Mytilus edulis: one gene and its partner. The protein of the gene in region 1 purifies or fractionates together with the protein of each later gene. This does not show direct contact. Links are inferred from orthologs where the notes say so. Each region holds a gene or a part of one and is shown in the gene's direction. Other genes may lie near its edges. The genes, in order: signal recognition particle receptor subunit beta-like and signal recognition particle receptor subunit alpha-like.

Evidence for each region.
Region 2: the proteins of signal recognition particle receptor subunit beta-like (region 1) and signal recognition particle receptor subunit alpha-like purify together in Homo sapiens (affinity purification with mass spectrometry; 6 studies listed by BioGRID and IntAct, counting the BioPlex papers as one, with this or other methods). This does not show direct contact. The link is inferred for Mytilus edulis from reciprocal best matches to the Homo sapiens genes SRPRB and SRPRA.

The regions. Positions count from the first base shown.
Region 1 is NC_092356.1:41,357,215-41,374,747, forward strand, and holds the start of signal recognition particle receptor subunit beta-like, read left to right. Parts: upstream 1-8,676; 5' UTR 8,677-8,721; coding exon 8,722-8,845; intron 8,846-13,292; coding exon 13,293-13,384; intron 13,385-13,826; coding exon 13,827-13,901; intron 13,902-15,963; coding exon 15,964-16,046; intron 16,047-16,677; coding exon 16,678-16,737; intron 16,738-17,288; coding exon 17,289-17,420; intron 17,421-17,533. Other genes in the region: SH3 domain-binding glutamic acid-rich-like protein 3, read left to right, coding at 3,358-3,423. UniProt on the Homo sapiens protein: Component of the signal recognition particle (SRP) complex receptor (SR). Ensures, in conjunction with the SRP complex, the correct targeting of the nascent secretory proteins to the endoplasmic reticulum membrane system.
Region 2 is NC_092348.1:29,412,151-29,429,683, reverse strand, and holds the start of signal recognition particle receptor subunit alpha-like, read left to right. Parts: upstream 1-8,125; 5' UTR 8,126-8,194; coding exon 8,195-8,311; intron 8,312-12,079; coding exon 12,080-12,163; intron 12,164-13,595; coding exon 13,596-13,789; intron 13,790-16,003; coding exon 16,004-16,119; intron 16,120-16,610; coding exon 16,611-16,743; intron 16,744-17,442; coding exon 17,443-17,533. Other genes in the region: upstream stimulatory factor 1-like, read right to left, coding at 487-548, 7,747-7,778. UniProt on the Homo sapiens protein: Component of the signal recognition particle (SRP) complex receptor (SR). Ensures, in conjunction with the SRP complex, the correct targeting of the nascent secretory proteins to the endoplasmic reticulum membrane system.

The DNA.
Region 1 (17,533 bases):
CCGGACCCCTTTTTGATCCGCCACTGCAGTTTTGACTAATCAAATGTTTACTTTTAGTCCTTATGATACCTCAAATAATTCAACTTGCTACATCCTCTATAGTTTATCGTCAGTGACCTGGTCGTAGTGTGTGGAATATAACGACTTGATCATTCTCGGGTTGTAGTTGTGATTAACATTCATTGATGCTTAATTTCTTATCTCGAAGATATTGCACTTACAAAGAAATGCAATTATCATAATGAGAAATGATAATCAAATCGTCATTCTGATTTGACTGTTCTTATACATGAGGTAAAATCAAACTCAAAGTAACAACCTTTATCTTTTTTGACTAAACATAAATACATTACAGAAATGCCTGAAGATATTACCCCTTACATTTCCTCAAAACATACACTACGTTACAGGCACAATGTGCATGTATATGCATGTGCATTGAATCATATATTTACATGACTCAGCTGTTGAAAAAGTAATTGCCTTCTGGTTATTTTGATATCAAGCGACTATGCAATTATATGCTTTAGTGTCGTTTTCGATGTATACGTCCTTCACACTTTTATTTCTCAGTTATTTTGTAATATCAGAATAGGATATCGTTTAAGAATAAAAGTGCATAATTATCATCTGAACCTCAAGTTTATACTGAACCAAAACAATCACTCAGACCACACTTAAAAATATGCTCAAACCCTACTCAAAGGTACAAGTAGAAATAGAAGGCAAAAAGAAATTTAAGTGTCAAATGCCGGTTATAAGTCTTCATGCCTATGTGTTAAGTAACTGTGTTATTTCAACCACAAGCTCCTTTTTATACTAATTGCCTTTAAAACTTAGCAGACGAAACAGTCGCACGTTGTATAATAGAGACATTCACAAGGATTTATTTCTGTTTTTTTTAAGCGATAATCGTTCATTAAAAGTTTAAGGCTGTAAAAACAAACATACAGTAACTCTAGATCTAATTCTAAAATATATTCTGTAATCAGTTGAAATACTCATGCATCACAAGTCACGATCGTTCAGTGGTTATCTAGTTCAAAAGACAATGAACAAGTGTATGTGCCAGCATGTCATAAATAAAGAGCCCAAAGGACTTGAATGACTTGAAGTCTGTATAGTCTTTATTTAAAAGACAAACAACAGTACACAAAACTTAGTATAAAAAGCATGAGCAACAAGACTCCCAGTAAAAACCGGGTTATCTTAGTGGCTTCAGAAGAGTAAGTAGACCCTGCTACACACGTGGCACCTGTCGTTTTGTTCGTGTTAGTACAAATTTGGTAATAAGTATCATTTGGTGAAGTCACATAATAGAAGAGGGGGGGCAAGGGGTTTAACTGTTATGCTGTTATGGGGCAATTTAATTCTTTGTTATCTGTTATTTTGAAAATATATTTGCTGTTAGCTGTTATTGTCTTATTCTTTGTTAGCTGTTATTGGGCTATTAGTTTTTTTGTTATCTGTTATTGTGATAATGTATTTGCTGTTAACTGTTATTGAAAATTGGAATGTTAGCATTAATTTTTTGACAGTCCATATTCGGTATAAATTGAAGATCATTAGACATTAGGGTCTACCACTACTAATATGTTTGTCCCGTATTCAGATAAGGATTCCATTAACATTTACCCATCACAGAAGTGAGGTCCAGGACAATTCAAGTATATCTTATGATTATCCTTTGTAATAAATTCTATTTTTTTATAAATGTGTATTTTGAATTATCTTAATTTTTTGTATGAGAATAATGTTCCTTGTTTCCCGTACGAACATATTAAATTAAAACAATTCTTAATATGACAAAAAGGAAAACATATGGCCAGGAATATCTGACAAGGATCTCAATTAAGGACTTGGTCCTAACATCCAGTTAACCTTTTTTTATAATATGGTACATAGACTCAGCTCTGTGATTCTTTTCAAAGCAGAACCAAATGCATTGTACAATGAAAGTTCCAACCATGTACTTGGGTCCGAAGCTGCACATAACTCATTACAAACAAAGATTTCTTTCGTTTTAAGCCATTTTTTCCCTACTAAACTATGTATCCTACTTACTAGTACACTTGGTACAATCAAAAACCTCAGCTGATAATAAATTGTTCAAATAAGGCCATTGAAAATAGTGGAATAAATTGCTTTTGGAGTGTCAAAATTCGTTCGAAGTACTTGATAAATTGCATGCTTATAATTGGTGCTTTTGATTTTGCTACCCTATATACCACTTTGCCTCATAGTCTTATTAAGAAAAATTCACACACCTCATTAAATGGTCATTTAGAAAAAGTCAGAATATTCAAACTCTTTTAGGTCATTTTTTTATTAGCAACAAAGGGAGCTTCAGTCAATATATATAAACAATATACCAACGTTTCATGAGAACTGCTGAAAGCATTTTTGAGTTATTTTTGAAAACTAGAAAATACCACCTTTTTCTAATGAATAAAATCCCTTAACTCAATAACATAAAATCTAAAATTAATAAAAATCGAAAGGGTGTTTACAACAATAGATATAAACATTTCAGCAAAGTTTCATGAGAACTGCTGAAAACATTTTTGTGTTAATGTCTGAAAACTGGAAAATCCCCCTTTTTAATTAATAAAACCCGTTAACTCGGAAAGGTAAAATCTAAATTTATAAAAATTGAAAGTGACCTCATGTTAATAGATATAAACAATTCACCAAAATTCCTTGCTTTGTGAAAGCATTTTTGAGATATTATCAGAAAACTGAAAAAAAACCACCAATTTTATTTAATAAAAACCCATTACCCAGAAACTTAAAATCTAAAATTTATAAAAACAAAAAGGGAGCTCACGTCAATAGATATAAACAATTTCTCAAAGTTTAATGCAAATTGGTTAAAGAGTTTTTGAGTTAATGTCCGACACGTTGACAACAGTCGGACAACAGTATACCATAAAACGTTCTGTAAACGAGCGTATAAAAAATATTATAATATATTGAGTAGTAATTTAAACTCATTCTAGATACATAAATTAATACTAAAAACATAGTCATAGAAAATGGAATGCATTACAAAGGATTATATCCGTAATAAGAAATACTGATTTTTCAAAGACCGAATTATTTTAATATTTCATTTACTGTTATCTGTTTTTGTCCATGTTAATTCCTTGTTATCTGTTATGAGGCAAATCAATTTGCTGTTTTGCTGTTATTGGGACCCCCTTGCCCCCCCTCATAGAAATTAGGATGGTGCAAACAACTATTATTACATCACAGTGGTATATTGTATACATCATAATTAAGCTAGTGTATTCAAGTTTTGTAATGCTGTCCGAATAACTGTAGACTTGTTTCTTCAATATTTTATTACTGTTTTAGGATTTCCAATCCTTTGATGATGCACTGGAAGCAGGAACGTTACAAGAATTTTTACTCCTGAAATGAGTGGATGGATGATTTTTTAAATGGTAAGCTTTTCTAAAGTAACATACGCAGAAGGCTAGTCTATAATTAGAACAATATCAGTAGCATCGTCTTAATGGAATTACTATTTACATTATATGCGATACGTCGTTCAAGACAATTTCTGTAGTTTAGTAAGAAAACAATAATGTTAACAATAGATCACAATAGGAAAAAATATAATTGAAAATCGCTTCTTTTTTAGTATATATAACTCCCTATAAAGACTGTTTATAAATGAATAAAAAGACAGTGATTTTAAAAATAACACGTGCTAGCTACTAAAATTCGTTGGTTTTTTTTCAACTTGCCGTTGATGCTTTCCCGAATTGAAAGTTAACTTGACAGGTCTTGATAATTATCTTTTTAAACATCTAATTGTTTTAAATATGTGTATGTCTCAACTATTAGGCTATTAAAATTATTCGGCATAAATCTAAAAATAAAAGTCTTCGATTTGTATGGTATTTTCATAAATGCGATCGTACAGTGTCTGAGTTCATCGTTGATAACTAATGGAAAAAGCAGCAATTATACCAATAAAGGGTGCACTTTTAATATAAAAGTTACTTTTAATAGCATTTTATTATTCAAATATAACTAATATGTTGGTACATCAATATGCACAATTTGTACAAGATATTGTTAAATCCAGATGATAACTTTCTATTTTCAGTGAATGATGCCTGTTATGTGCTAGAAGACGTATGCTGAAGAATGCAAGAACTACAAAGAAATGTTTCTACTTTTATATATAAAGTGCAATTCTATAAGAAAAAAATGCAATTCCGTGTCGTATTTGTTTTTAAAGATGTCATTTGCTTGTAGAACTGAATATGGACTTAACAATTTTGTATCGTGAAAATCTTATATCGAAATAAAATAACAGTTATTTTTTACTACCTATTTTACTTTTTTGTCTTCTCCGATAAGCTTATATAGTTCTAAATTCTGATGGTTAATGAGCAATGTAACTAAACTGTAAATGTTTGACGAAGTATAGTTTGCCGCGGATTTATTTAAGAGTTGGATCTCTTTCGACTCTCTAACAGACCTCAAATTAATGAATTTACTGATGTAATAGTTTAATCTAAGTGATAAAATTGATAATGGAAATTGGGAATGTGTCAAAGAGACAACAACCCGACCATAGAACAGACTACAGCAGATGGTCACCAATGGGTCTTCAATGTAGCAAGAAACTCTCCAGACCGGAGACGTCCTTCGGCTAGCCCCTAAACAAATATATATATACCGGTACTAGTTCAGTGATAATGGACGCCATACTAAACACCAAATTACACACAAGAAACTAAAATTAAAAATCATACAAGACTAACAAAGGTCAGAGGCTCCTAACTTGGGACAAAACACGGCTGGGTTAAACATGTTTTGTTTAGATCTCAACCCTCCCAAATTACCTCTAGCCAATGCAGAAAAGTAAAGGCATAACCATACGCACAGTAAAATTCAGTTCCAAAGAAGTCCGAGTCCGATGTCAGAAGAGGTAACAAAAGAAAATAATACATAAATAACAACAGACTACTAGTAGTTACTGACATGCCAGCTCTAGACCTCAATTAAACTGATTGAAAGATTATTTCTTCATCATATGAACATCAGGCACAATCCCTCCCGTTAGGGGTTCAGTATTATACCATCATAAAATATATAAGAAGAACATAACCCGTGTCATGCCAACAGCTGATTTGTGATAAAATTGTTTATTTTTAAATAAATGTGTTTAATTCCGATGCAAAGCCCCTATAATATATTTTATAGCAAACGGAAAAATAGATGCAAATCGTGTCAGTATCAAAGCCCTTATTCTGACTTGTAGCTTGCTTGATTGAGGATCTATCTCATTGTTGAAGGCTGCACGGTTTAAAACTCGGTGGGATGGTTATTTCATCCATCATATCAAATCCTCTTATTTTATACGTCCACATTTTTTTATTGAATCAAAAAAGACACAGGACAATTATACTTGAGTCTTATTAAAATATAGAACTCTGATTTCGTTATACTCCATATGAAGTATAACGAAATCAGAGCTCTATATATAATAATTAGACTGGACAGTATTAGTACTCCATTTAGTGTGTGTATATACAAACATGCATTACAAACCATGACGGGAAAACACAATTTACTAGAAATGCAACAACATAAGTTAAATTCAAAATCGCTTGTTTCCCTTTTTACAGTGAATAGAAATTCTTTATTGAAATATTTATTATGAAGATATGTTATGATTGTCAAGGAGACAAGTATTTAACCAAAGTCTAAATGAAGTGGATGTAAGCAATTATAGACAACCGAACGGCCTTCAACAATATGGGAAAATGCACCGTATATATTCGGCTATGAAAGGCTTTGACATAAACAATAAATATATAAACAATTTTAGTGAGAAAACTAACGGTTAATCTGTAAAAATGGGACCTTACGGGTTTAAATGTCAATGATTTTTATGGCAATGAAAAGAACTTATGCATTTAACTATCCTATATACTTGGTCCCAGATGCATCTAGTCAGACATTTCATTTAACGATATCAATATACATTTGTTGCTCAAAAGCTCAGCTTGGTCAATACAAAGCAGAGAAAAACAAGAATGTGTCCTAGTACACGGATACCGAACTCGCACTGTCATTTCATATGTTAAGTGGATTGTGACATTGGGGCCAAAACTATAATTTCGCAGTAAAATTAGAAAGATCATAATTATCATAGGGAACATGTGTACTAAGATTCAAGTTGATTGAACTTTAACTTTATCAAAAACCTAAAACTTTAATCTGAAGCGGGACAGAGGGACGGACGAACGGACGCACAGACAGAATAAAACAATAAATTGGGCATAAAAATGAAAATTGGTATAGATTGTTATCAGCAGCATGTCTACCTCTTAATTAGTCCAGAACAACCAACTCTACTTAAAGCTAGAATAATCATTCAAACAAGTTCTATAATAGTAGTCAGGGAATCTATCAAAGGGATAGACCGATAGGTTGCTGAACAACAAGTGGTCGCCTACCATATATATATATAGAGAGAGGGGGGCTAAGAGGAAACAATATTGGACGAGAATTGTGTGTTATTTACGAAGCCAATACAGCGAGGCCCTTCAAATGTTCCGAGTAAATAATGAGATAAGACAAGGTAATATTACAATATTTAGCGTAATATTTGTGTCAGGCACTACCTCATTGCTGTCTGCTTTGTCGACTGGTATTCACACAAAATGCTTTCCGATAACTTGAAGCCTATGTCTAATCCGGGAACTGCATATATTGATATATCAATATGTCATACCTTCTTATTTTCATATTAATTGAAATTAGTTATGTATATCGGATTTCTGTATTTATAATTTTATATCAATGTTAACAATAAAAAAATATCATATTTGGTTACTTGGTTTTCTAGTTTACAACCTATTGACGCTGAATGAGGTTGAGTAGACTGAATGAGAAGACATCATATGAGTGCCAATAAGACAACTCTCCATCCAGAAAAGTAAACAATTATGGGTCAAAGTATGGCCTTCAACACGGAGCATTGGCTCACACCGATCATCAGCAAGATATAAAGGGCAACAAAAGACTAGTGTAATACAATTTAAACAGGAAATTACCAACGGTCTAATATATATAAAAAAAACCGAGAAAAACAAATGAAGCACACCATCAAGCGACAACCAATGAACAAAACTGACTAATGATATTAGACTATTATAACATGACAAAAGGGATCATATCTAAAGTTTGACATTTTACAGTCTTATGTTGGATAAGGATTATTTGCTACACTGGCAACTGTTGATGCAATAGATTTATGATAATATACTACTTTAAAAACTGTGGTCATAAAGTGTCAGTTTCCTTATCCAATTGTGTGAATGGTGTTACAAATAAAGTTATAATTGGACGCATATTCCAGTTTCCTGTTTTCGGATCTTTTTAACGGATAAAAATGTTAGTTTCTTATTCAAAATAATAATTTTTGGTCATGGTCATGTAATTTTGTAAGTTTTCTATTCAATCGTGTTTGTTTATATATATCAACTATTCAAAACAAGTATGATACGGTTTTGCTATAAGAAATACAAAATGATGATTGGGGACAAGCCGATCGAATGGTAATGTGATAAAGGCCTCTTTCAATACAAGTCTTTATAATAGACTAGACAAAACATCAATTTGAGAATGTAATTGGGAAAAAAGCATACAATACTAACGAAGGCGTGCGCCAGAGGCCCCTGACTTAGAACAGGCGCAAAATGCAACAGGGTTAAACATGTTTGTTTGAGCCATCTAAAACCTCCAGCCAAATGTAGAGTAAAGAAACACATAACAACACGCACAGTAACTATTTAAACATCGTTTTAACTGAAGAAGTCCGAGTCTGATGTCAGAAAAGGTAACAAAAGAAACTTTGCAAAGTGACAATGATACATATATTAACAAAGGACTAACCAGCAGTCACTGACATGCCAGCTCCAGCTACACCTCAATTAAACAGATAGAAAAATTAGGTCTTTATCATGTGAAAATCAAGCACATTCCCTCTCGTTAGGGGTTTGGTATCATACCATCATAAAATATATGAGAAGAACATAATCCGTATCATACCAACAGCTGCTTTGTGATAAAATTTCAGTTTATTTCCTATGCAAATGTGAAACCCAATGAGTGAATCAATATTTTATACCAAAATATGTCATCCTAAATGACTTTCCAACAGTATTGTAAGTATATTCCTTATCAGGGGCGGATCCTGCCATTTAAAAACAGGGGGGGGGGGTCCCAACCCAGGACAAAGGGGGGTTTTAACTATATGTTCCCATTCAAATGCATTGATTGGCCAAAAAAAAAGGGGGGGTTCCAACCCCCGGAACCCCCTGGATCCGCCAATGCTTATGGATATACGGTATAATATATACATATCTATTTCTAGAATAAATCTGTTTCATGATAGGTTTGGTTGAGAATATGAAGTGAAATATATTAGTCTGTTTATGGTGTTAAAAAGCGTAAGCTATAACAGAGAGCAAATGAAAATAAGTGAGTCTGATCAAGGATTTGTATAGCGTCGCTTTACAAATTCTTGGTCTGATCCGTAAAGATCCTATACTCAGAAACGTTCACATATTCGGACATGTTCGGTTGTTTCCGCCTTTTTACGTCTTTTTTCGATGGAAAATCGGAATACGCTTACATTTCCGTCTTTGGTCTTAATATTATTCACACCGGAAGTTGACGTTGACTGACAACATGGGAGCCAGCATTCAGGAACAAATTTTACAGTACGCAAATATATTGACTGACAATGTCCAGAAACAGGATCCAACTACCATAGGCATCATAGTAGCAATCTTAGTTGTTTTGCTTACAATAGGTAACACATGATATTTTATTTCACCCAAGTTAATGTTGCAATCGCGTGAAGAAATGTGGCCATATGTTTTATCCAGATTTATATGCGGTGCAGGAGCTATAATTTACATTAATAATCAAGAAGAAAAATTAAAAAGACCTGTCTCTAACAAAGGATCAATCTTGCTAGCTGAACTTATAGCAATGAAAATTGTACTCGATTACACAGAATCTTTTTCAAAACAGCAAATTGATACTTTATTTTCGGACAGTCAGACCGCATAATTTAGGTATCTTAACTCTTAATTGGAAAAGTGACAGCTATCATCAAACCATTAACGAAATCAAAGGGAAGATAAAAAATTTAAATGAACATGGAATTTTAATAAACTTAAACTGGACACCAGGACATGCCAACATAAAAGGAAACGATGAGGCAGACTCCCTAGCAAAAGAAGCTGCTAAAGAAGCAGAATCACTAGCAGTTGATGACATAGTGTATACAAAACAAGATGTAAAAAAAGCAGCTAGAAATTCTGTTACAAAAAAATGGCAACGCAGATGGGAAAACAGTAATGCTGGCTGTCATTATTTCAGATTTCATCCTGAAGTTAAAAATAAAGTAAAAAAAGACTACCCGTCAAAAAAATGTACAACATAATCAACAGTTTATGAACAGGTTATTCTAAATTAAATGCATACCAATTTATAATAAACCAGCACATCAACTCGGAAACCTGTGATCACTGCAAAGAAAAAGAAAATGTACAACACTACCTTTTTGAATGTGACCTGTAATCAGATGCCAGAGACAAATTATTTCATCAAATATACTTCATAACAGGACAAATTCCAACAGATTTAGACGATTTATTAACAATCAATTTGCCAAATGCAGAAAATATCAGTCAACTATTAGCGGAGTACATAGAGGAAACAAACAGTTTAAGTGGATAATTTAATTTAATACAAATTTCTTTTAATTTTTAATATTTTTTAATTTTTCATGCCATTCCAATAACCTAATTAACCTTTTTTTTTTTCTTCAAGTGATACATTTATATAGTTCTATAATATTTTTAAAGAGCCACCTACAATATCTAAGTACAAAGGAGAAACTACATTAGTGAAATTAATTTTACAAGAGAGGGTAATTCACAAGAGAGATTACTCTGTCATCACGACAAAGATTGAAGATTGAAGATTTATATACATAATGTAGTTTACAGTGGCGGATCCTGAAATTTTCATTAGTGGGGCTCACTGACTGCCTAAGAGGGTGCCCGCTCAAGTCACACTTTATTGATTCCCTATAATATGAGGCAGGCATAATGCATGCACATTACCTGTAAATGGGGACAAACAGAAATACAGTAACCTTTCCGATTTTGGTTCTATTGTTAGGGATTTTAGTTGTGACGTTACTTATGTTATGACTCATATGCAATGTAAACAAAGAAATGCTATCATCATGTAACGTTTTTTCATATCAAGGAATAATTAAAAATGAAATTGGTTTTGCGTTCATTCCTATTTTATACTAGACTGATAAATATATATTTTACTCAAAGTTTCATACAAACCAGACCGGTAAAAGGAAGAACATTGTAGATTTTTGCGCAGATGCAGGAATTAAAAAACATGACATCAAAAAAATTGAACGATTTTGTTGTTTTTGTCGATCCTTGCAACTTAAGTCGAAAAAGCGAGACATAGCGATCCTACATTCAGTCGGCGTCGTTGTCGGCCACAAATATTCACTCTGTGGATAAAGTTTTTCGAATTTTAATAACTTTCTTATACAGTTATACTATTTTGGATTTGTACCAAACTTGTACAGAAGCTCGTTCATGATCAAAATCTAGTATCTAGAAGGAAATTTTGTTAAAATTTTGTCCTTGTGTATACATCTGTTTTTTTACTTGTAAATGGACTTACATGTAGTTTTCAGTTAAAGTTTTTTAAAACATTAATTAGATTCATAAACTATCCTGAATTTTTACCCAACTTGGACAGAAGCTTCTTACAATCGATATTTTTATTGGTTTTTTTCCTCATTTTTGTTGAGCCTGCGATTAACAGCAAAAGTAGACTAGACACTGGGTTTTGTGGAACCCTTGCAAATTTTCTTAATTACTATTCTACATTTGTGTACATATCTATTTTATAACCTACATCATAATAAATGAACTCTAATTTTGAACAAAAAATTCTCATAATTTTTTAATGATACTGTATAATTTGACTTCTGGGAACACAGGATTCAACTTCAGTTTATCATCAGTCCGATATGTCCTGTCTACATGGTCTAGTTGAAGGACAAGGAATAAAATAAGAGATTATCCTTATAGATACTTTAACCCCTTAAGTAAAAATTGAGTCATAAAATAAGTAAATAAAACTATGTGAAGTACCTTCTTCAAACAATTACATTTTGTAGTTGTTATAACAGTATTTAGCTTGGATGACGTGTACAGCCATTTTACCACATGTTTTCATTAGCCATACTAATAATACCTTCATTATTTAAGTCCATTGTTGCCAAATGCTACAAAATGCATTCAGCTGTTATTTCTGTTAAAAGGTGAAATGACGAGTATTGTCTCATTAAGGAAAAAGTCTGAGAAACCTGAAGCAAATTTAACAAGATAGCAGAATTCAAACAATTGTATTTCTTAATTTCTAATTGCCACAATTATTATTGTTTTGCAAAATGTGAAATGGCCACCATTTTAAACCCTATCCTAAGTTCTTTACTGGTTATATATGACATGTATTAGGGCTGCCAACTCAGAAAATTACTCCTCATTCAGATTTCAAAAGGAATTATTATGGATCATAACATTAACTACTGACAAATATGGCCTTGTTTATAACTCTTTACTACAGTCTCACAAGTGCACCAGCAGCCGTAAGTTTTAAGACATTGCTCAATTTCCTGGATATACATGTATGTACATATAAATTTTAATGCATTTTGAAGTGACCACTTCCTCTTAATAAAATGAAGAAAAAAAACCAGAAAAAATTAACCCCTTTAACTTTAGTTAAATGATATATTCCTTATTTTCTGGTAGATTTTTATAAAGAAATATGGTTGAGTTGATCTAGACTGTTTTTATCACTACCACAAATCACAAATTTTGTCTATATCTGTAAGATTTGAAAACAAGTTTCTTGTGACAAAAAGTCAGTATACATGTACTCAAAGATGTATTTTATGATATGAAAAAATATTAATTTGATAAAAATTGTCAATTAAAGTTGATTCAGATAAGTAAATGAGGAAACTTGTTGGGGTGTGTGTACTGCATATGTCAAGGAGGAAGGAAGTACTTGCAACCTTCATAATCGATTAATAGTCTTGTTTGCCAATTCATGTACATGTAATTGACCCGATAATCAGAGATCAATTTTTTAGTTGTCTCCCTTAGCAGGGACACATTTTCATTGAGAAAAGAGAGCTAGTAGAAAGAGCAAATTATTGTGCGCATAATGAGTGTAACCCTTAAAGTTTTTCAAATCACCGTATTAAATATAATTAAATTGATTTTTGATAAACTAAAATATTTTTATATCAGAATTTTTTTTTTCAAATTGATTAAAATTATCACTTTCAACTGATCATACTTTACGCATACTAAAACCAATTTTGTTTGGAATAGTACAGATCTAGGATGAACAAAGGAAAGCAATTTTTTTAAATGACTGTGTATAATAACAATCAAATAGGCAATTAGCAAATGAACTACAATGTATTGAAAAAGTTTACTTTCTAAGTCAGGAATAGTATCTTTAGTATGTCAATTACTGGTTTGTAGTGCTCTACCCCTTCATACCAGTAGATATACTACATGTAACTATAAAAAATAAGTAGAGATTCACTGTCTTAAGGGAGCTACCATTTGATTTTTATGGGGAAGCTAGGATGAAATTTGAAAAAAATAGGCAGGACAGGAGTTTTGAGTAAAAAAAAAGGCAGAATGTGACACTTGCAAAAAAAAAATGTCAGGACGACAATTTAGGTAAAAAAAGTCAGGATAAACTAAAAGAAAAAAGGTAGGACCGATTAGAGTGAAAAATAAAAAGGCAGGACAGAGATTACAGCTAAAAAAAATGCAGGACAAAATTTGTCATCCTAGTCCCCCCCCCCCCCCCCCATAAAAATTAAATGGTAGCTCCCTAATGTTATATCATTTTTTCCCCCAAATACTGAATGAGAACATTATTTTTTAATGCGATTTTGTATTTAAAAAACAAATTGCAACACTCCTCCAATATTAACATTTTTAGTACATGTATGCCTATTACAATGTACAGCATGGGCTTTTCATGATTTTATGTGGTTATCTTCTGCACCTTGAAATCCAGGTACAAAAAATGTATGGTTGGTATGAATTTAAAAATTTGAACAAAATCCTGAAATATTGTTAAACCTTCATGTAAAATAATTTACTTTTTATTTTCAGTACTCCTTGTCTGTAGAGGAAAATCCAATAAGAGAAGTGGTGTGTTGGTGCTGGGAATATGTGAATCAGGGAAAACTCTGTTGTATACCAGGGTAGGTACAAAACATATAAACAACACACTCAACATACAGACCTTATTGGATCCAAATCTAACCATGCATCACAAACTCTTGTGTTAGATTTATAAGTTACATATAAGTTGGTTGGATGTAAAGAATTTTTGGTCACCATTCACTACAGCTATGTAGTTATAAATACAAACATTCCTCTTGGTTTTTTTGAAACTCATTACAGCTATGTAGTTTTGAAGTTTCAACAATTTTTTGAGCGTCCTTATAGAATGCAACAAGAACTAATTTCTAAATGTCAAAAGTATTCTACTTTATTATGTGAAATTAATTAGAGAGGTGGCAAAGTGGTACATTTGTAAAGATGCTTTTATAATTGTACTAAAATGTACATATTGTGAACATTAATACATGTACATTGCAATTGTATGTCCATGTTTTACTGTGACTGTTTTTTGTTTTGTAGCTTGTTCATCAGAATTACACAGACACCTTTAGCTCAATAGCCAGTAATTCTGGAAGTTACCAAGTTCAAGGAAAGGTACTGTTGATACAAAATAGTTCTGCTTTATTTAATGACCCAATAGGTAATTAAAGGGAGGTAAACTACTGCAGATATGTGTCTTAGAGTTGCATGACCATATTGCAAGCATTTAAGAAATTCCTTTAGTGTTTGTAAAGGTCAAGTTGAAAGAAACATTAATTGTGATTTGTAAGATTTCAATGTACATGTACATACAGCACAGTCAAATTTAAAGTTTGTTATACAAAATGAGTGACTTACATGACTTAATAGCTGCTATACTTTTGTAAATATAAATTAGTTATGATTTAATATTAATACCATTAAAATGTCACAAGGGATATATATAAATTATGCATCAAACCTGTCAGAAAAATTTGTACAATGTATCAAGGATCCGGAAATTTTTTCACCTAATTTCGGTCATTTTCATACAACTTAAAAGTTGATACCCCTTTTCAAAAGATGATTGCCAAAATCACATTACTGCATGAGACTCATTATGAGTATGCTCATACTCGATCGTCATGTTCGTAGCATCAACAAACTTGTTTCACTGTTGCATCGCATTTACTTCATGATTTGTCCTACCATTTTCCAAAAATCGATCAAGGGCAATTAAGGGAAGGCAGCAGTTTAAAAATAAAATGATTTTAATGACTCAAAACGATAATATTCTCAGTTTAGCTTACGTTTCTTTCGATTCTGAAGTCAAAATTCAAACCGGATGCACTGCGACAATACTAAAACGAACAATTCCGGACTCATTTCCGGGATTAGTTTTGTTTATCCAAATCACAGGAAATCATCGGCTTTTTAATATTTTATCTTTAATAGTGTAAGAATATCAATTAAAGTAGTTGCACTGGCTTTATTTAGGATGAAATTATTTAAAATTTACGATTAATTGTCTAAATCTGTGGAAGAGAATTTCAAGCATGCGTATTACATAGTAAACAAAGCACGTGTGTTAGAAGTAAAAAAAAAAAAAATTCTACAAAATTAAACCAAGTTTTAATTTGATTTTAAATCATAATTGACAATTGTCTGACTTGTTGAGTAATTAAATATTGAAGCCAGTTGGTATGGAATTTTTATTTCTTTATAATAATAGTTTGGAGCTTGTGATTAATTGCCAGGTGTGAATTACAATGAATTAAAAACACAGGTAAAGAGATTAATTAGCAATCATTAGCCAATAGCTCCCCGAGGCATTAATATAGTTATTAGGAGGGCCCTCAGGATTATAACACTTTATTGGAGTGGCAGTTTAATTACAGGAAGTCATTAACTTAACAAAAATATGTTCAAAATGGCGATTTTGAAAGTCGATCTCAACGAAATGACCGAAATTATTAATGTAGGAAAATAAAATTTGACCTAAATCCCAATTAAAAGTTTAGGACATTATAGTTTCAGTTTAGGACATGACTGGCAAATATGACCGTTTCCGGACCCTTGCAATGTATATGATAGTGCAAAAAAGGATTTCTTCAACTCTAAATATGTAAATGATAATTAATTGAAAACATGCATGTATGCCTTTACATTTACTATACCCAACTCCAAATGAGGGTTGTATATACTGGTTACCCTCTGTCATTCTTGTCAATCCATAATGTAACACATTTTTGTTGTATTTTAAACAACAACTACAAAGTTGAGCTTGTTGATATAAGGTACCAATGTGTCATATTAATATCTTATTCTATACATTGTACTTTGAAAGGAACCATATTCAGATCCTAATTTTTGCAGTATAAATGTATTTTATTCACATGGATGAATGTTTAAGAAAAATAATTTAAAGACACTAAAAATCAGGGCTTTTTGATATTTGGTCATTTATGGTTAAAAGTTAAGTAGCTCACAGTTTATAATAAATGATGAAAAGTAGCACTGGCCACAGTATAATCTCACATATTAGTTTAGAGGAAAGAAAAGTTGAAATTTATTATAATTAAGTTCTATTAATTACTGTATTGAGTTATTTGTTTCTCGTACTGTCAGAATCAAAGCTATTGTTATAAAAACACTTGTATATCAAATTTTACCAGACATTTCACTTTTTTATTTGCAGAATAAAAGTTTAAGGATAATTGATATACCAGGTCATGAAAGATTAAGACAGACCATGCTAAACCAGTACAAAAGCTTAGCAAGGTAAAGTATAAGCCATAAGTAAACTTTTACCAGATATCATGTGACTTTTATCAGAGTTTTGATTGATGAAATTTTGTATTAAATTTTACCTTTTACAAAGAGACTGTCTACTGTTAAAACCTGTTATATTTTGATAAGTCAAATATTTGTTTTCGAATTTGAAATATCCAACAAAAGAATTTAAATATGAAAATAAGAAGATGTGGTATGCTTTCCATTGAGACAACTCTCCATCAGAGACCAAATGACATATCACTTAACAACCGAAAATAACCATAGACCTTCAACAATGAGGAAAACCTATACTTCATAATTATCTATAAAAAGCACTGAAATGACAAATATAAAACAATTCAATCAAGAAAACTAATGGCTGATTTATGTTAAAAAACAATAAATGAAAAACAAATATGATATACAGCATTAAACGATAAGTTGAACCACTGAAGTACAGGCTCCTGACTTGAAACAGACACATACAGAATGTGACAGGATTAAAAAGGTTAAGTGTGTGTCTTTGAACTGTTTGTTTATGTAGTTATGTAATATATTAAGGTTAAAAACCCAGGTTGAAAATTTTCAATTTATTCCAATGGTCAGCATATGTACAATTTTGCTTATTTGTTTCCAGGGGTATAATATTTATGATTGACAGTTCAACCTTACAGAAAGAAATTAAAGACGTTGCCGAGTAAGTTAATATTGAAAAATAAATGTTTGAAATCTGTCAGTAAAGATGAAAATAGAGTAAACACTAGTATGACAATTACTCTTTAAATCGATAGCAAAATGAAAAGGAAGAGGTAATTTTGTAACAGTAACATGCAAAAATCATTGCAAATTTAACCTTAAGGAATTTTTGTTACAGTAACCATATTGATAAAAAAAAAATTCTATTTTCACATATTTAAGATCAGAACTAGAAATTTGTTTTTCTTTTTGTCTTATTAGAAAAGTGAATAAAAAATCACTTAAAAAAATTTAAAATAATAAAAATCATATTTGTTCGACAATTTCTATTGGCATATCCTTGATCAAATAGATAACAAAATTAATTGAATGTATTATAAAATGAAGTTGTATTTGGTGAAAACTTTAAAACAACAAAGCTCTATTGAATTGAATTTTTTGTGAAATATAAAGTTGAGATTTTCTTTGATGGAACAATTGGAAGTGATCAACTGATGTCATTTATTACTACCTCAGACATGTTGTAAAAAATATTTTATATTTTATTTTTAGTTTTCTATACACAGCACTTAGTGACAGCGTTATATCATACAATATCCCACCTGTATTGATAGCATGTAATAAGCAGGACCTTTTAACGTCTAAAGGAGCTGAGGTCATTAGGTCACAATTAGAAAAGGAAATGTAAGTACCTGTGTTGCTTATGTGTTACATCTTTTAACACTGAATCACCAATAAAAAGTTTATTTGATTGATTTAAATAGGTGGGGAATTTTAATAGTCAGATAAGCTACTGG
Region 2 (17,533 bases), on another chromosome or scaffold:
AAAACCATAATATATATGAGAATGATATAGTATATATAAATAATCATCTGCAGTTAGAGGTGAGGGTGTAGATGGCTAAAGATAAGCCTTTATGATTCTTCCTCAACTCATCTTTTTCAGTGACTTAAAATTATTGATGCAAGATGCCTTCCCAAGTTAAAATTCAAGTGACCTTAACTTATTACTTCACATGCATGGTCCTTTTGAATAATATGATCCCTGAATTCACAGGACATATATGAACCAACACAAACATATTTCTTGAAGGTACATTGTACCTCACTAAATGTATAAATGTTAAAGGTAACAAGTATTTCTTAGACTCAAATTTTGGTAGCCCAAATAGAATGTTAATGGCCCAAACAAAATACAACAAGCTGATAATATTTGTTTTTATTTATAAGTTAAGTAAAAGTATTATCATCATATTTCTTGTGTAATTTTGCATGTGTACATGTACACATGTATGTATATAAACATAATTACCTGGGTCATGGTGTGTTAAAGTGACATCATCTGAGTTGTTGGAATCATGATTCTTTTGTTCACTGCAATAAACAAATAAAATTAGAACAATGCTGCATTTTTCTTTATTGTTGTGGTTGTATATAGGAAGCACATTGGAATGAAATACTCAGTACTTGTTAAACCATCATCATCAATGAACACAAGGGAATTATGAACAGATATATCATGTTAAGGAGGGGTATTTGCGAAAAATACCAGTCGAGAGAATGTTAAATTTCACGAGCCGTAAGGCGAGGGAAATTCATTCTCAAGACTGGTATTTTTCGCAAATACCCCTCAATAACATGATATATCTGTTTAATTACACCGAATGTTAATGTACTAAAACGCATTGATGATCGTGACGTTACAAGCGTCCAGTCGAATAGAGTATTTTTTGGCAAATACCACGGCAGAGAGGGTAAAAAAAGGCATATCCTTTTAGCAAATACCCCGGCGGCATTAAAAATGAACGATATTCATTTGATAACAGTAAATTGGTGAAAAATACACTGGCTATTAACCAATCAAAACCCCGGATTCTTACATAAGGTGTAATTACAAAAGATATGGAGAAAAACAATCCATGAATTTGCATAAAGATTATGACACAAAAGCACCAAATATTGAAAATTTCAGGTCTTACAAATATGGGGACAATCAAACATCATTAAATTGCTTGAAATACAAAATGTAACTTGATTGACCGAGTGTTGGTTGCCTAAATGTTCAGTTGGGCAAAATTTCATGAATATTTAGAAGGATGAAATTACTTGAAACTATAGCTAGCTCAAAGCTTTTCATCAGCTGATGTAAAGTCATGGCTTCTTCCAATCTAATATATATATCAACATTAATTTGCGTTGTATAATTCGAAAGTCATACATGTACAGCTACATGTATTTAAAACAGACTAATTGAAAAAAAAAAACAGATTCTAATTAAGACTCATACCACAATTTTGATACATGTATGGATGGAAATTGGAAAGAGGAATATTCAATGAACTGTAAATGGTGCAACTACAATTACGCACAAAGGGAGATAACTCTAATTTTAAATGGAAGTTTTAGAGTTTAAAAAATATTTGGCCTAACATTTTTTTTAGACTCAAATTTTGGTAGCCCAAATAGATTTTAATGACTACAACAAAATACAAGATTTTATTAATTTTATTTATAAGTTAAGTGAAAGTATTATCCTCTGTGGGAGGGTTCTGATTCAAAAAAGAGAATTATACCTATACCTGTACAGAACAAAACAGAACAATGACCAAGTTAACAATGACATCACACATATGTTTGTACTAGATTCATGCACCATGCAAAACTAATGTAATGTTCTGGACAAGTTTGGTTTATAAACAATGTGCACTCACATCACATCTTCCTATATATCTATGTAGATTATTTTGCACTTTATATTAGGCCAACATTAAAAATATCTTTGTTTCCCTTCCCCGACTGAGGTTATCAGGGTAGGGGTAGGTAGGTAGGCAAATTATTTTATTTTATTTCTTGATATAATTTTTCTATATTGAATTTTTACAAAAATCAACAGGTAAGATAAGTCAAGAAAAGTGGGATATATATTCCCTGTATTCAGTGTACACCCAAGTTTTCTGGTGTTAAAAACAGTATACAGGGACCTCCTTTTTCCTATTCATTTTATGGTATGAAATCTACAAAAGCACACATTCTTCATGTGATAACAATGTTTAATGAAAGCAAGTGTTTAATAAGTTAAAAATCAAGCTTATTTCAAGTCTAACATGTCTAATTTGATGCATAACTCACAACAAAACAATTCCTGTGTTCACCAATTCATACCTTGATCATCAATTATGAGATGACAAAAAGATATGTTAATGACTTGGGAATTAAAATTTAATGAATAAAAATTTTCAATAGAAGTGAACATAATTCAGTTATGTTCAGTTACACATGCATGGATAACACCCCAAGGGTGACTGGGGTATAGAAATATGGTCACTTGGTCTTCTCCCGACCGGCAGTAAAACGCTAGCCGAAGTGGGGCGTCCGTTTGGATGTGCGGGATTTATCAAGTTCGCAGTCACGTCCGGTCAGAAGGGGGATGTTAAATCTGATGCCTCGTGTAAAGAGAGTGCCACGCTCTTTGCACGTTAAGAACCCTTGCAACAACTCTTTGAGGGGTCCGTAGGTGGCCTGTTGCAAGGCAAAATTTCTGTCCCTATCCAATATACCCACAATTTCCAGTGGCAGTCCAAATTCCCCCGACCATCATCCCAGATGGCCTCTATCGTATTCACCTACCTATTGTATTATTTGTGAACTTGTTCTCGTCCTGAATATGCATGAAATATTTGCCACTGGACGTTAAGCAACCAACAATCAATCAATCAATCAATCAACATGCATGGATCATGCAGCTTGGTCAATTAATTCCTAAACAAAGATTTGTATGTTTTTTCGAGTTCTAGAAAAAACAAGGCTTCACTTATTCATGTTTTGTTGTTCCTAGAATACTTTTGAGTATTTACAAATTCAACTTGTGTAAGTTATAACGTAAAACGTGCCCTTTTGTAAATTTCATGCCAAAAAATGGAAAATAAAAACACATTTTAACTGGTCTTGTTTACACCAGAAATCAAGGAGGTTCCCTGAAAGCAGGGAAATCATGTATCCAACATTTTCTGACTTGTGCCCAACCTGGTCGAAGTCGAAGACAAAGTACTACTAAGTAGATTGATTTCAAAGCACAATTCAGACCATTTTTACTCAAAGATTTTATCCTTTAAACAGGAAAAGAGGTAAAAGACAAAGCCAATCAAGGTGCACTCAGTGGGTTGAAAGATGCTTAAGATTTTATTTTCAAATATCACCCTTGCACACAACCATGACAACACAAATCGTGTGGCAAGGCATTATGTTTGTTTTCCTCGATTCCGAATCATATTGACGCTTCAATGCAAAAATGCCTTGATTTAAAACGCTTGTTGACTACAGCATCGGAAAGGTATGACCAAAAAACCAATGCACGTTTACTACAGCATCAGAAAGATATCACCAAAAACCAACATAGCAACAACAAAAAATATGTACAAGAATGGCCAATAAAAATTTTCGAGTCACTGCGATTTTACTGGGTCAGTTGGGGGAGGGGAAACAAACAATATTTTATTTTTGGCCTTAATATCAGAGTATTTATTTCATCAATAAGGATGTTCAGAATACTGTGCTCACTGCACTGTTTTGACTTTTGTGTATCTTGAAAAAACAAAATGTAGACAAAATCAGGAAAATTGAAAACTATCAAGGCAATCACATATTGGTTTTGGATTTTTTTATACTCCCAAAAAGTGTGGAAATCACTTTAATATCAATTCACAAAGTGTACAATATTCAATGCAAGGTACAACTTACACAAACATACATGTATGTAAGATATCAAAATATTTAGATAATTCTTAACATCTGCTTTCATTGTATAACACCTTTTGTAGGACTTTATTTAGAAATTTTTGATTTCTGAAGAGCAAAAATTCCCTTTAAACAATAATGTCCATTTATTAGTCTACTGTACATGTTCTATTACAAATTAATAGAAAATGGGGATTTTGTGGTTAATCCAGACAGCAGCCCGTTTTATAGATTTTCATATAATCAATGTTCTTTTTCCTTATACTTGTATTCTCTATACACAGTCAGGGGACTTACTGATGTAAGTGATTTTTAAATCACTTATTTGAGTAGCAAATTTGAAGTTTTGTCTCAAATTTTGATTTTGTAATTTTAACAAAATTTCAAACACATAGGTTTAAATAATATCTTTTCATTAGTAAAATTGAAAAAAAATGTATTTTTTGCTTCTTTTAAGTAGCAAGGTTTATGCCTTTAATGCTATCATTTAGCTGCAAATTCTATTTTAGTTGAAAAAATGCTGTAATAATGGCTTTACATAATGAACTGATACTTTCTTGTCAGATTTTTCCCAGCAGTGGTAGTATTTTTCCTGTAAAGTTCAAGGTTTCATCTTTCAGATTATGTAATAAAATTCTACTGTTCACGATAAAATTATTTCACTGTTCGAGGGTGTTGAAATTAGTGGGGGTTATTAAAATAATGATACTTAAAGAAGTGATTTTTGGGAAGGAAATTGAGGTATGATACTTAAACAAGTGATTTTTATGTCATTATCCTAGATTCAGTACAAGGTCATCACCTGAAATGACCTGGTCATCCTGGACAACACAGATGTTGGTTCTGATAAGTTTAGAAACATAATTAGTCCCTGGATCATTAGTATTCTATATTTAAAGCTACAGTAAAATTAAATCACTTCTAGTGATTATTTTGTACTACTTAAATAGGTGATTATTGAAGAAAGACAACTCTTAATTCCAACCTAAATGAAAATAATGCTACTTGAATCAGTGAATTAGAAAATCACTCATTTAAGTAAAGTCCCCTGACTGATACATGTATGCCCCTTGTGGTCTCTTAATTGGAAATAAAATATATCTTATCTTATTCAACATTTTATTAAGCATATTGGTTATATTGATTGATTGATTGTTCGTTGCTTAACGTCCAGTGGCAAATATTTCATGCATATTCAGGACGAGAACAATATATTGGTTATATATTACTCGCTTGTTAGTACCATAACATGTTAGCAAAATGGTTGTTAAGAGTGTATTACAAATGTATTTACAAAAGTTCTAGCCAACCAGTGCCACATACATGTAGTTGTATGCTAAGTACCAAATTGTCCAATAATAGCTAGAGTAAAATGGGAAAGGCTGTTTATTTTTTTTTTAATAAAATTTTATGAAATTTATATTTTGTATTGAAACAACAAACTGAATTCATAATCTTAAAATTTGATATCTTACCTTTTCATATTAACTAATCATTACATAAGCAATGAATATAGTCATTGATAGTACAAAAGGAATAACAATTTGAGAGTAAGTGTTTTATAAATAATATATGAATGTCATGCATGTCATGATGAATCAGAATGTTGGAAAATTTTCATTTTTTTTTTTATAGATTTAAAATATAATTGACTCACAGGTTTATAGGGTAAAACACTTTAATCTTTATTCTACATTAATACAAGGTCAGTTAACAAGGATGCACAATATTGTAAGGGAAAATTTAGCCGGTTCAGATGGTTGAAGAAGAAAAAAAATAAAAAAAAGGATACATGTCAACTCGTACTTTCGGCAACTCGTACTCAGCCAACTCGTACTTTCGGCAACTCGTACTTCTACCAACTCGTACTTCTACTAAGTCGTACCCAATATTTTTTTAGCATTATAATATAAGTTTTCTACGTTTATATCAGTAGATATGGATATTTTAACTCCCTGAAGTATCCCAGTGCACCCTGAGGTAGATCCATAGAATATGAAAAGGATATTTTTTACTGAACATTGCGTTGAACATGTCTTAGTTTTTTCGTGTTAGTAGAAAATATTTTTAACATTATAATGCTTCATATTTTATTATTCACCTACTGATTTATCTACTGATAGGATTTGTATCTGAAAAAAAATCCTCAAGTGTCAAGGTGTGCTCGATCCTTAGAATATTTGAAGAGATTTTTTACTGAATATTGCGATAAACACGTTGTTTGTTGATGTGTTAACACTTTGTTTTTGTTTTTTTTTTTTAAATAAGTATGGCAGTCAGTTCGTTTTCCGTTTGAATTGTTTTACTGGTCATTATAGCTGACTATGAGGTATGGGTGGGTTTTGCTCATGGCTGAAGGCTGTACGATTACCTATAGTTGTTCATTTCTGTGTCATTTTGGTCTCTAGTGAAGAGTTGTCTCATAAGCAATCAGACGAGATCTTCAAAAAAAAAGGACTTTGTGGCAAATAAATCAAGATTTTTATAGAAAATCCACAGCCTTTAAACACAAACCTTAATACACAAATTATTTATTGCAGTTCGCGTGCCGGTGATTAATTGATTGATGATTGCTTCACACCTGAAGTATGTCGATTACCAGTTAATCGGCCCTTAGTCACACACGAAGCGTGCCATTAATTATTTAACCGTTATCAAAACAACTTCACACCTGATCTAATCTTTCTGCATGTACGTATTTTAAAATGTATATTTCATCACAATACTACTATCATTTATATACGTATTGACCTCAATTATGATAAAAGTTAAAATAAAAATTAAGCCAATATTTAGAAGAATTACGAGAGGCGTATTAAAAAAAACCACTAGTATCACTATTATTTACACACACATTGTAAGACATTTTTACAAGGCTTTGTTGCTATTAATAATAGTAATAAGGGTCCTACAAATACAGCTTTTTGAAATATATACTCTTATTGGCCCCAAACATGGACCAAATAACAGGATTAGTGGAAAATATTATTGAGATACACAATTTATATATCGTCTTGCATACATTACAACGTGGACGAACCATGATTGCAATTGAAGATGATCATACATTTCACCATAGTTTATATATTTTTTCTCTAAGCTTGGTTTTTACAACGTTTAAGCCATGCATTTTCTTTTCGGTGAGGATGGTGATTGTTTAAGTATAACTCAACGGCCTTTGATGATCATAGTGCCGCACTTATACCGATTTTTTGTTTTCATTTACTTCTCTCTGTTTATTCTACTTTTAACAAATCCATTCTATTTTTGTAGGTATGTTATCCACTAATGACCACTGATTAGCATATGTGTACTCATAATTATTTTAATGTGCATATCAAATAAATTGCCGTGCAAACAATTTCAAACAATCAATTCTAAGGAATACTAATGATTATAACGATTAGCATTTTATAAGCTTATTTAAAACAATTATGATTGAGTTTTATTAACAATGAAAGTTGTTTTTTTATTTGTATTTTGCTATATAATGATATACGAAAGAAAGTTACAATAACTATGCATAACTTGATAAATAATATCAAATAAAACATGGTTACGAGTTGGCAAAAATAGGGTACGAGTTGGTTGAGTACGACTTGCCGAAAGTACGAGTTGTCGTGTACCCTAAAAAAAAAGTTACAACTGCACTTAATAATCAGTCAATTGCTTTACCGATCTTTATTTTCAATTTAACTTTAATATATAATTTTAAATGCAAAATTTAGACAGAAGTACACAAAATTTTTACTTCAGTGTCGCATTACAAAATTGTCATGCAAGCAATCATTGGTCTTTTTCGTGCACTTTAGTTGAAATTCCGAATAATTGAACCGACCTTGCTTCCAGTGCTTGATCTAGCATATCCATGTGACTTTTTGACGATCGTTTGAATTTGCCAGGAATATAGCAAAAGTTGATCACGGGGCCAAACAACAGGTCATGTGAGATGCGAATTGAACATGTGACAAAAATGGCCGTTCTTGCTGAAAAAGTGTGCGGAGAAATACGTCTAAGAGTGCTTTATTCACCGTAGGTAAATTGCTTTTAGTTTTCTTTATTGTTATGAATTAAGTTTCTAAATTGCTAATTTATGTTAAAACAAAGGTGATATATTTATAATTTACATCAATGACAAAATTACAAAGACTTATATTTTACAACTTTTTTTTATCGCGCAGTCTTATTGAGAAAACAGATTCGGGAATTCCCGATGATTTTCGATAGTTATCGGCAAAGTTCCATTTCCGGCGGTCGTTGAGACACATTTTTGAGACACTTTCAAGATGTTAGACTTTTTTACGATATTCAGTAAAGGTGGGATTGTTCTTTGGTGCTTTCAGGGAACATCTCAACTGTTTACACCAGCAGTTAACTCTCTAATTAAGACTGTAATACTTCAGGTGAGAAAAATACAGAAAAAGTAACGTAGTAAATACTACACGTGACGTGACGTGGGATGTAAACATATGGAAAATTTCAAATAATTGCATTTCTGTTAAACTATAATTCTTGGTTGTATTTGTTAATACCTTATATGTTACTCACCTGTCATATGGCTTGACCATTTTGAAAATTTATTAGATAATCGTATAAGTTATAGGTGGTGATAATATTACTTGTCTTATGTCTTCATACTTTATACATTTTATAGTTTTAACATACTTTATTTATATACATTTGTCAGTGTTCCAGCTAGGCCGTTTTCAGAGGGCGCGGCGCCCGCCCTTTTCCGAGTGGCGCCCTGTGCCCTTTTTACAGTTTCCAGGGCGCTCTGCCTTTTTTGAAGATCGATTGCATATTAATTTGCGTATTGATATGATACGCTAATTACTAAATTTTACCTGGGGAAAAGATTATGACTTTGTTTACCACCCCAAGCTAATCAATGATTACAACTGGTGTCATAATCTGTTGTTATAGGTAATCCGTTTATCGGATGGGTCATTAATGATCATCAACATTAATTCGTTCAAATAGAAAGTTCAGTCGGCAATTATCTTTGAAGAAATGTGCATACAACAACTTGGGCACAATTTGCGATGTTTACCGTAGTTTCATGGAAGAAACGTAATGACAAAAAGTTGGAAAACCATTATAAACTCGTTGAAGACATTGTTTTACTTGTTTTCTGTAAAATAAACAGAAAATTCAGACGTATTTGTCATTGACTGCCTTCATTTTTGATACGAAAATAACAAAATCCGCCTCCATATTGTGATCATATTTACATCATATTTACGTACTGTTTATAATCCTCCAAAGAAGGAGCACACCCGAATAAAGAAAGATAACTCAATCTGATTTTTTTCCTAGCATTGAGTAACCCATTTACATATTCTAAAATGTGTCTCCATACTTCTTGCTTAAGAATATATATGTTTAGGTATTTATTTTGAGTTATGGGAAAAGTTAAAGAGGGTCTTAGTAGCAGTGTTGGTAGGGTGCCTTGGTCATCTTTTTCTGTATTCTTTATTTTTGATACTATTTTTCACTGTTGCTTTATATCCTAAAATTGTGAATTTACTGAGCATTGAATTTACTGAGCACAGCTGTTTTGTGCTGTATTGCCATCAAGCACAGCAGGGGTAGAAAGGTGAAACTGGTAAAATGTGGTAGACCATAGAAACAGTATGAAACAGATCTCCTTTCAAAACATACTGCATATAAAGTTCAACTGTGCCAAGCAATGATAAAAAAACTTGTGTGACAAGCTGCTTGACAACTTTTTCAGCCTTAAAAGTAGAAAGATAGAGTTCTATATGGGCTAAAGATGTTGTTCTTGTATAACCTGTGATTCAACGAATAAACACAAATGTTTGATTAACATCTTTTATTAAAATATGCCCTTTTCATATTATCATATCGCGCGTTAAATGCCCTTTTTCAGGATTGGCACCCTGCCCTTTTGAAAACCTAGCTGGAACACTGTTTGTACTATAGAGTGCTGGAGGTCAAGGGTTCCCTGTGTCCTAGCATTCCCTTTGTGTTGGGTGGGAATTGAATGTCCCTGTAAAAAATTGTCGTAAATGTTAATGACACATCTCCGTTAATCTGGATAGGGAGTGTACATTGTACATGTTCCACTATACCGTCACAGCTTTTAAAGGGTTCTTCTGATAACAAGAAATTTATCTAGTATATACATGTATATACATACATACTACAGTTGATTGGGAAACAAGTTATTACAACTTATATAAATCACTTTCCACTTTACTTCATACTTGGTGATTTTACGTAGATTCTGTAACTTAAAACCTCAATCAATTTTTATTTACCATCCACACTCAATTTTCATTAATTTTCTTTGTGAGCAGGAACACATACATTTATATATATATTGACATGGACCTATTAACACTACCTAATTATAGCTGATTTTACTGTCCGGTTATAGTTAATAAATTGCACGATGTGGAAATGGACATGTTAAACCTATCTAATAGTTTCTGATATTAATGCTATCTTTAAATGTCATTTAAACTAAGTAGTGAGTGATGCCAGTGTATCAAACTTGTAATTTGTCACTTTTTTAGCTCAAAAGGGCCAAGTGAGCTTTTCCCATCACTTTGCGTCCGTCGTTAACTTTTACAAAAATCTTCTCCTCTGAAACTACTTTGCCAAATGAAACCAAACTGGGCCACAATCATCATTGGGGTATCTAGTTTAATAAATATGTATGGTGACCCAGTCAACCAACCAAGATGGCCGCCATGGCTAACAATAGAACATGGGGGTAAAATGCAGTTTTTGGCTTTCCACTCAAAAACAAAAGCTTTTAGAGCAAATCTGACAGGGTAAAATTGTTTATCAGGTCATGATCTATCTGCCCTGAAATTTTCAGATGAATCGGACAACCCGTTGTTGGGTTGCTGCCCCTGAATTGGTAATTTTAAGGAAATTTTGCTTTTTTTGGTTATTATCTTGAATATTATTATAGATAGAGATAAACTGTAAACATCAATAATGTTCAGCAATGTAAGATTCACAAATAAGTCAACATGACGGAAATGGTCAATTGACCCCTAAGGAGTTATTGTCAATTTTTAACAATTTTCATAAAATTTGTAAATTTTAACTAACATTTTCCACTGAAACTACTGGGCCAAGTTCATTTTAGATAGAGATAATTGTAAGCAGCAAGAATGTTCAGTAAAGTAAGATGTACAAACACATCACCATCACCAAAACGCAATTTTGTCATGAATCCATCTACTTCCTTTGTTTTATATTCACATAGACCAAGGTGAGCGACACAGGCTGTTTAGAGCCTCTAGTATTTTTTTAAATATCGTTAATTTCATCACATAACTTTATTAAGGGTATAGAACGCAAATGAAGTAATTGAAAAATAGCACCAATGACATTCCGTATTTCACATACCATAATAACAGGGTTACGCCTCACATCAAATAAATCACTCTTTAAATCGGATCATATTTGGTCATTTTTATCATAGGTCGCGAAATCTTTTTTCCCTTTGTGGTCCTTGAAGAAAATCTGCAGGTCCTCACTTTTAATTCTATTGAAAAATACTAAAATTGTGTCAGTCCTATGTCAAAATTTGGTGGTAAAATCCTGAGGACCACCACTTTACGCGAACTCCGTTTTATATGACAAAAATTTCTACCTTATGATAAAACTTGTATTTCATGTATTTATATAAATGTTTGGAACTACGTGGATAATTTTATTTATTGAGCAGGTCTGATAGTTTTTCAGTCAGACACCATCAAAATCCACAAATCTTGTGAAGTCTTGTCAAGATTGATGTTTTTATCAATTTTATACTGAAGATATGCTGTTCCAGGCTATGAGTGAATATTAAACCCCCATTGAACAAAACATTTTGATAAACAAGGTGAATTCGACCCTGACCATACTTTTCATTAATTTGCCCACTTAACATGCTTAACACCAAAACTTTATTACTTATCCCACTAATCATGCTAATGAAAAGGCATTACATCCGGCTGAACTTTGGTCTGTCAACTAGTCCCATTAATCAAAAAACATTAATTCCCATTAAGTTCAATCCCACTAATTAGATAAAGGTCTAGACAAAAAAAATTGTGTCTGTTTACTATGGATCCTAAACAGGCTGATTTCAATAATTATGTCTCCCGTTTATTTTACAATTACTGAAAAAAGTTTGATTCTATTTTCAGGAAAGAACTGGGAATAATACATATACACATGAAGCTTTACAGTTGAAGTATAAGCTTGATAATGAATTTGAATTGGTTTTTGTGGTAAGTTTTATTATTATCAATTATAAAATGAGATGTAAGTAATTCAAGTATAAGTCAATGAGACAAAAAAATATATATACATGTACATGTAGGTTAATAACATATCAAATCAAAAGACAAGTGTCTAGATACGTTGTATAAGAAGATGTATTATATATAAGTGCCAATAAAACAACTCTCCATCCAAGTCACAATTTGTAAAAAGAAAACCATTGCAGGTCAAAATACAGCCTTCAACACGGAACCTTGGCTCACACTAAAATGAAAGCTATAAAGGCCCCAAATCATGCAAATATTACTAGTATAAAACCATTCAAACAGGAAAACCAACTGTTTAATCTGTATAAAAAACAAGAAGCCAGAAACACTGTATAAAAAACAAGAAGCCAGAAACACTTATGACAATGTATGAACCACATCAACAAACTACAACCACTGAACAATAGGTTCCTGACTTCAGACTGTACAGTTTAAATACTGAATTGCCCAGAATCTAGAAAACTTGTGCATAATTTCAAGGTCTAAATAAGACCTGCTCATGGTGGTATAACATCTGCCATCAATGACAAATCCTTAAACGACATGCAAGACATTAAGATAACCATAAGACAATCAACCATATGGTTCCTGACTTAGGATATGAAGTGGGATAGTTGATTGTAGTAAAATTACTTTTCTTAGCACTCAACCTTTGTATTTTAATCTGTATAAGAGGAATAAGGTAAAATACAAGAAAAACAAACAATAACAAACTAGATTAGTAACAAACAGGATTACTAGTACTTTGTCTATGAAACAGGAGCCTAAAGAATATCAAAGTGAGACAAAACATAACACAAATAATAGGCAAAAAATGGATTGTCAAACAATAGACATACAATGCACAAAATGTCTAACCAGCGACCACAAACATTGACAAAATCAAATGTACAACTGTCTCTATCATCTGGAATCTTTATAACAAATAATGAATGAAGAGACATCCCCAAGTGTTTATGAGAAACTGTATGAATTTACAGCTGTTGTCCTAATGCTAGCTAGTTTTAAATGCTCGGTTAGCTTGTTAGCTTTATTTGTATTAAAGCTTGTCCAAGCATTGAAATTACATGTAAAATTGATATCTGCAAACAATATAAGTAGGTTGAGTTACACTAATATATATGTCCAATCAAATTTAAATATAATGTAAACAAGTTTAACTCCACATTTTTATACTGTTTTCAGAAGTCAATCTTTTAAATTTCAAAGCTTGAGCAAGTATTGATACAAACAAAACAATGAAGCATACCCAACCTTTAACTTTCTAGCATTATGATAACAGCTGTAATGTTTAAATGTCTTCTACAGGAGTGTTGTATTGAACAATTTTATGATTAAATATTTAAATATTTTAAATGTTGTGCATTCATCTGTGTTATATTTTATAATTTAGGTGGCTTATCAAAAGATATTACAGCTGTCTTACATAGATAAGTTCTTGACAGACATACAGATGGAATTCAGAAATAAGTACAAGGATTGTCTTACTGATGGTTTAGCGTGTGGCACCTTTAATTTTAAGGGATCATTTGATGAGATTTTGAGATTTAACGAAGAAGAGAGCAGAGCCATCGCCAAGTCTCAGAAGTAAGTTTTAAAAAATGAATCTGGATATTTATAGCAGATAACTGAACATTCATTAGGCCAAGATCCTGCTTTATAGAAATTTTGTCTGTCAGACTAGTCTGCCCTTAAAGGAGGGTAATTTACCTAGCCTAATAATGACTTCACAGTTCAGCTAGCAAGCAAATTAACCAAAGATATTACTTTTACCTACACACACATTGCATTCTGCTGTAACCTGATTTCTAACTTAGGAACATATGATGAACAAGAGATCCAACACTTACAGTCAATGATGACTTCTCTATCTGATGTTCTTTTAATATATGGAGATGATTGCTAATGAGACAACTCTCCACCAGAGACCAATTAAAAGAAGTTGTAAGCACGAAAATTATCAGTTAAAATGTCAGGTCTACTTACAACAGGAATACACTATTACTGAACTACATATATCTGTCATTTTATGATTTAAATCATGTACAATGTATTTGCAAATTTTGAAAAAATTAGATTCAATTATATTCATGGGTACCAACTTTTATGGATGGAGTAATAGAGTTTTTTTTTATATGACCGCAAAAATTAAAAATATTTTGGTCGTATATTCATGATATTGGTATCACGTTGGCATCGTTGTCTGCGTCTTTGGCGTCCGAATACTTTTAGTTTTTGCATTCTAACTTTGGTAAAAGTGAATAGAAATCTATGAAATTTTAACACAAGGTTTATGACCACAAAGGGAAGGTTTGGGATTGATTTTGGGAGTTTTGGTCCCAACATTTTAGAAATTAGGGGCCAAAAAGGGCCCAAATAAGCATGTTCGTGGTTTTTGCACAATGACTTTAGTATAAGTGAATAGAAATCAATGAAATTTAAACACAAGGTTTATGACCATAAAAGGAAGGTTGGGATTGATTTTTTGGGAGTTTTAGTCCGAACAGTTTAGGAATAAGGGGCCCAAAGGGTCCAAAATTAAACTTTGTTTGATTTCATCAAAAATTGAATAATTGGGGTTCTTTGATATGCCGAATCTAACTGTGTATGTAGATTCTTAATTTTTGGTCCCGTTTTCAAATTGGTCTACATTAAGGTCCAAAGGGTCCAAAATTAAACTTAGTTTGATTTTAATAAAAATTGAATCCTTGGGGTTCTTTGATATGCTGAATCTAAAAATGTACTAAGATTTTTGATTATGTGCCCAGTTTTCAAGTTGGTCCAAATCAGGATCCAAAATTATCATAAAGTATTGTGGAATAGCAAGAAATTTTTAATTGCACAGTATTCAGCAATAGCAAGAAATCTTCAATTGCACAGTATGGTGCAATAGCAAGAAATTTTCAATTGCACAGTATTGCGCAATAGCAAGAAATATCTAATTGCACAATATTGCGCAATAGCAAGAAATTTTCAATTGGAGTTATCTTTCTTTGTCCAGAATAGTAGTTGAATCAACTTAAATCATTGTTTTATACAATATACAATGTATATTCTCTTTTACTACCAACTGATAAATTAAAACAATCTTTACCATTCAGTGATAACCAGCACTTTTTTTACATTTTAATATTTTATGATGTATTTAAATGAGTGGCTATTGTTGCAAACTCCATAAGAAATTTGAATTGAGATCAGTTTTGGAATAAGGGAAACGGGGATGTGAAAAAAAAATTTGGGGTTCAATTTTTCTCATTTCAGATTTCATAAATAAAACGAAAATTTCTTCAACATTTTTTTGAGAGGATTAATATTCAACAGCATAGTAAATTGCTCAAAGGCAAAACAAATTTTTTTTTTAAGTTCATTAGACCTCATTCATTATGTGTCAGAAACCTATGCTGTGTCAACTATTTAATCACAATCCAAATTTAGAGCTGAATCCAGCTTGAATGTTGTGTCCATACTTGCCCCAACCGTTCAGGGTTCAACCTCTGCGGTTGTATAAAGCTGCGCCCTGTGGAGCATCTGGTTCTATGGTTATTGCAAACTCTGTATACGTATACAAGTCAAAGGAAATTTGAATATTATGTGGAACCTTTAAATCATGGTTTACCGATACCATTAAAATCCATGAAAATGAAAATCACTATTAGTATAGTTTGGTTTTGATTGTTATTGTCTTAACATTGCACCTTATTATTACTTTCTTGGAAGTCAAAAGATATAATTATATAACATGTCAAATGTCAGAAAGTAATTATCAACGAATGGTTAAACCAAGTTTATTTATTTGTTTAGGAAAATGAAAACTTTTGATGAATCTTTAAAATCTAAGAAGACTGTGTCATCAATGATAGAAAACAAAAAAGAAGAAAAGAAACCAGCTAAAGGAAAGGAAAATAAACCAGTCAAAGGTATATATAAATACATTGTGACCTACACACATGTATTCTCTTCTAAAGACCATGCAAATAATAAACAGGGAAAAAAAGTAAAACACCTGTATTGTTAATTTATTTTGATTGGAAGAAATTAAAAAGTAAAATAACAAAAATACCTCATGTACCTAACTCCAAGGAAAATTCAAAAAGTTTTTGGTCGAGGTAGTTTGTGATGAAGTTGATGTCCAATCAACTTGAAACTTAGTACACATGTTCCCTATGCTATAATCTTTCTAATTTTAATGCCAAATAAAGAGTTTTTACCCCATTTGTCAAAGTCCACTAAACATAGAAAATGATAGTGCAGATGGGGCGGGGCGTCCGTGTACTATGGACACATTCTTGTTATTTAGGAAATAGGTAATTTGAGTCTATGGTTACTAAAATGTTTGGTTGTTTATTATTGCAATTATTGTTATTGTGAACATTGCTGGAGTCTTGAATGCATTTGAATATTATTTCAGAACAAGTTGTTAAAGAAACTGTGAAGAAAACTGAACAGACGGCTGCAGTCTTGGGTGAAATGGACGAACTAACTATACAGAAAAATAGAGAAAAGATGTTTGCTAAGATGTCTGGAAAGAAACCTGTTAAAACGTAAGTTAAGATAGCTGACTTTATTAATAGAGCAACTGATATATTGTTCACATTTCTATTGATAAAGGCTTTATTCATGTATCATGAAATTCCTAACAAAGAAAATGGAATAACCACAAATAAAATTGTATTCTTATTAAATTTTCATTTTGAAGACAGAATCTATAATATTGAAAAATTGTATTGTAACTTTTGTATAGTCATATTGTTCAGTTAGTTTTTGGCTGAAGATTGCATGCAATGCATTCAAACTGCTTCCTTATGTAACTGGGTTGTATCTGTATCTCCCAGGGGATAGTTTAAACAAAATAGTGCAGTATGGTGTACATTTCTTAGTTCCTTTTCAGTCAATGAAATGCAATTTATTAATTATATGTTATACTCAGACATTTAAGTTACAATAGGGTATGTATTTAAATAACTCAACTTGTCAAGAAAAATCGTTTTTGATAAAAATTTCACAAGGTATGCACTGTGTTTGAATCCTTTATCAAATTTTATTTAACTGCAAAACTACAAAGGAAGATAACTCCTATTTAAATTTATAATTTGCCCAACTAAATACACATTCGATGTTTAATTAATAAAAATCACATTTTTAGATGAAAGGGAATCTTTACCCTTCAGTGCTCACAAGGAATTGGATTTTTAACTTGTGAGCACTATTATTCAAAATTTGATGTTATTTTTCCTCTTCAGAGCCAGTGCCAGTCCAAAAGCAGAAACACCAAAGAAGAAAGGAAAACAAGCTACTAAATGGGAAATGGGAGGAACCAATAAAGATGCAGTG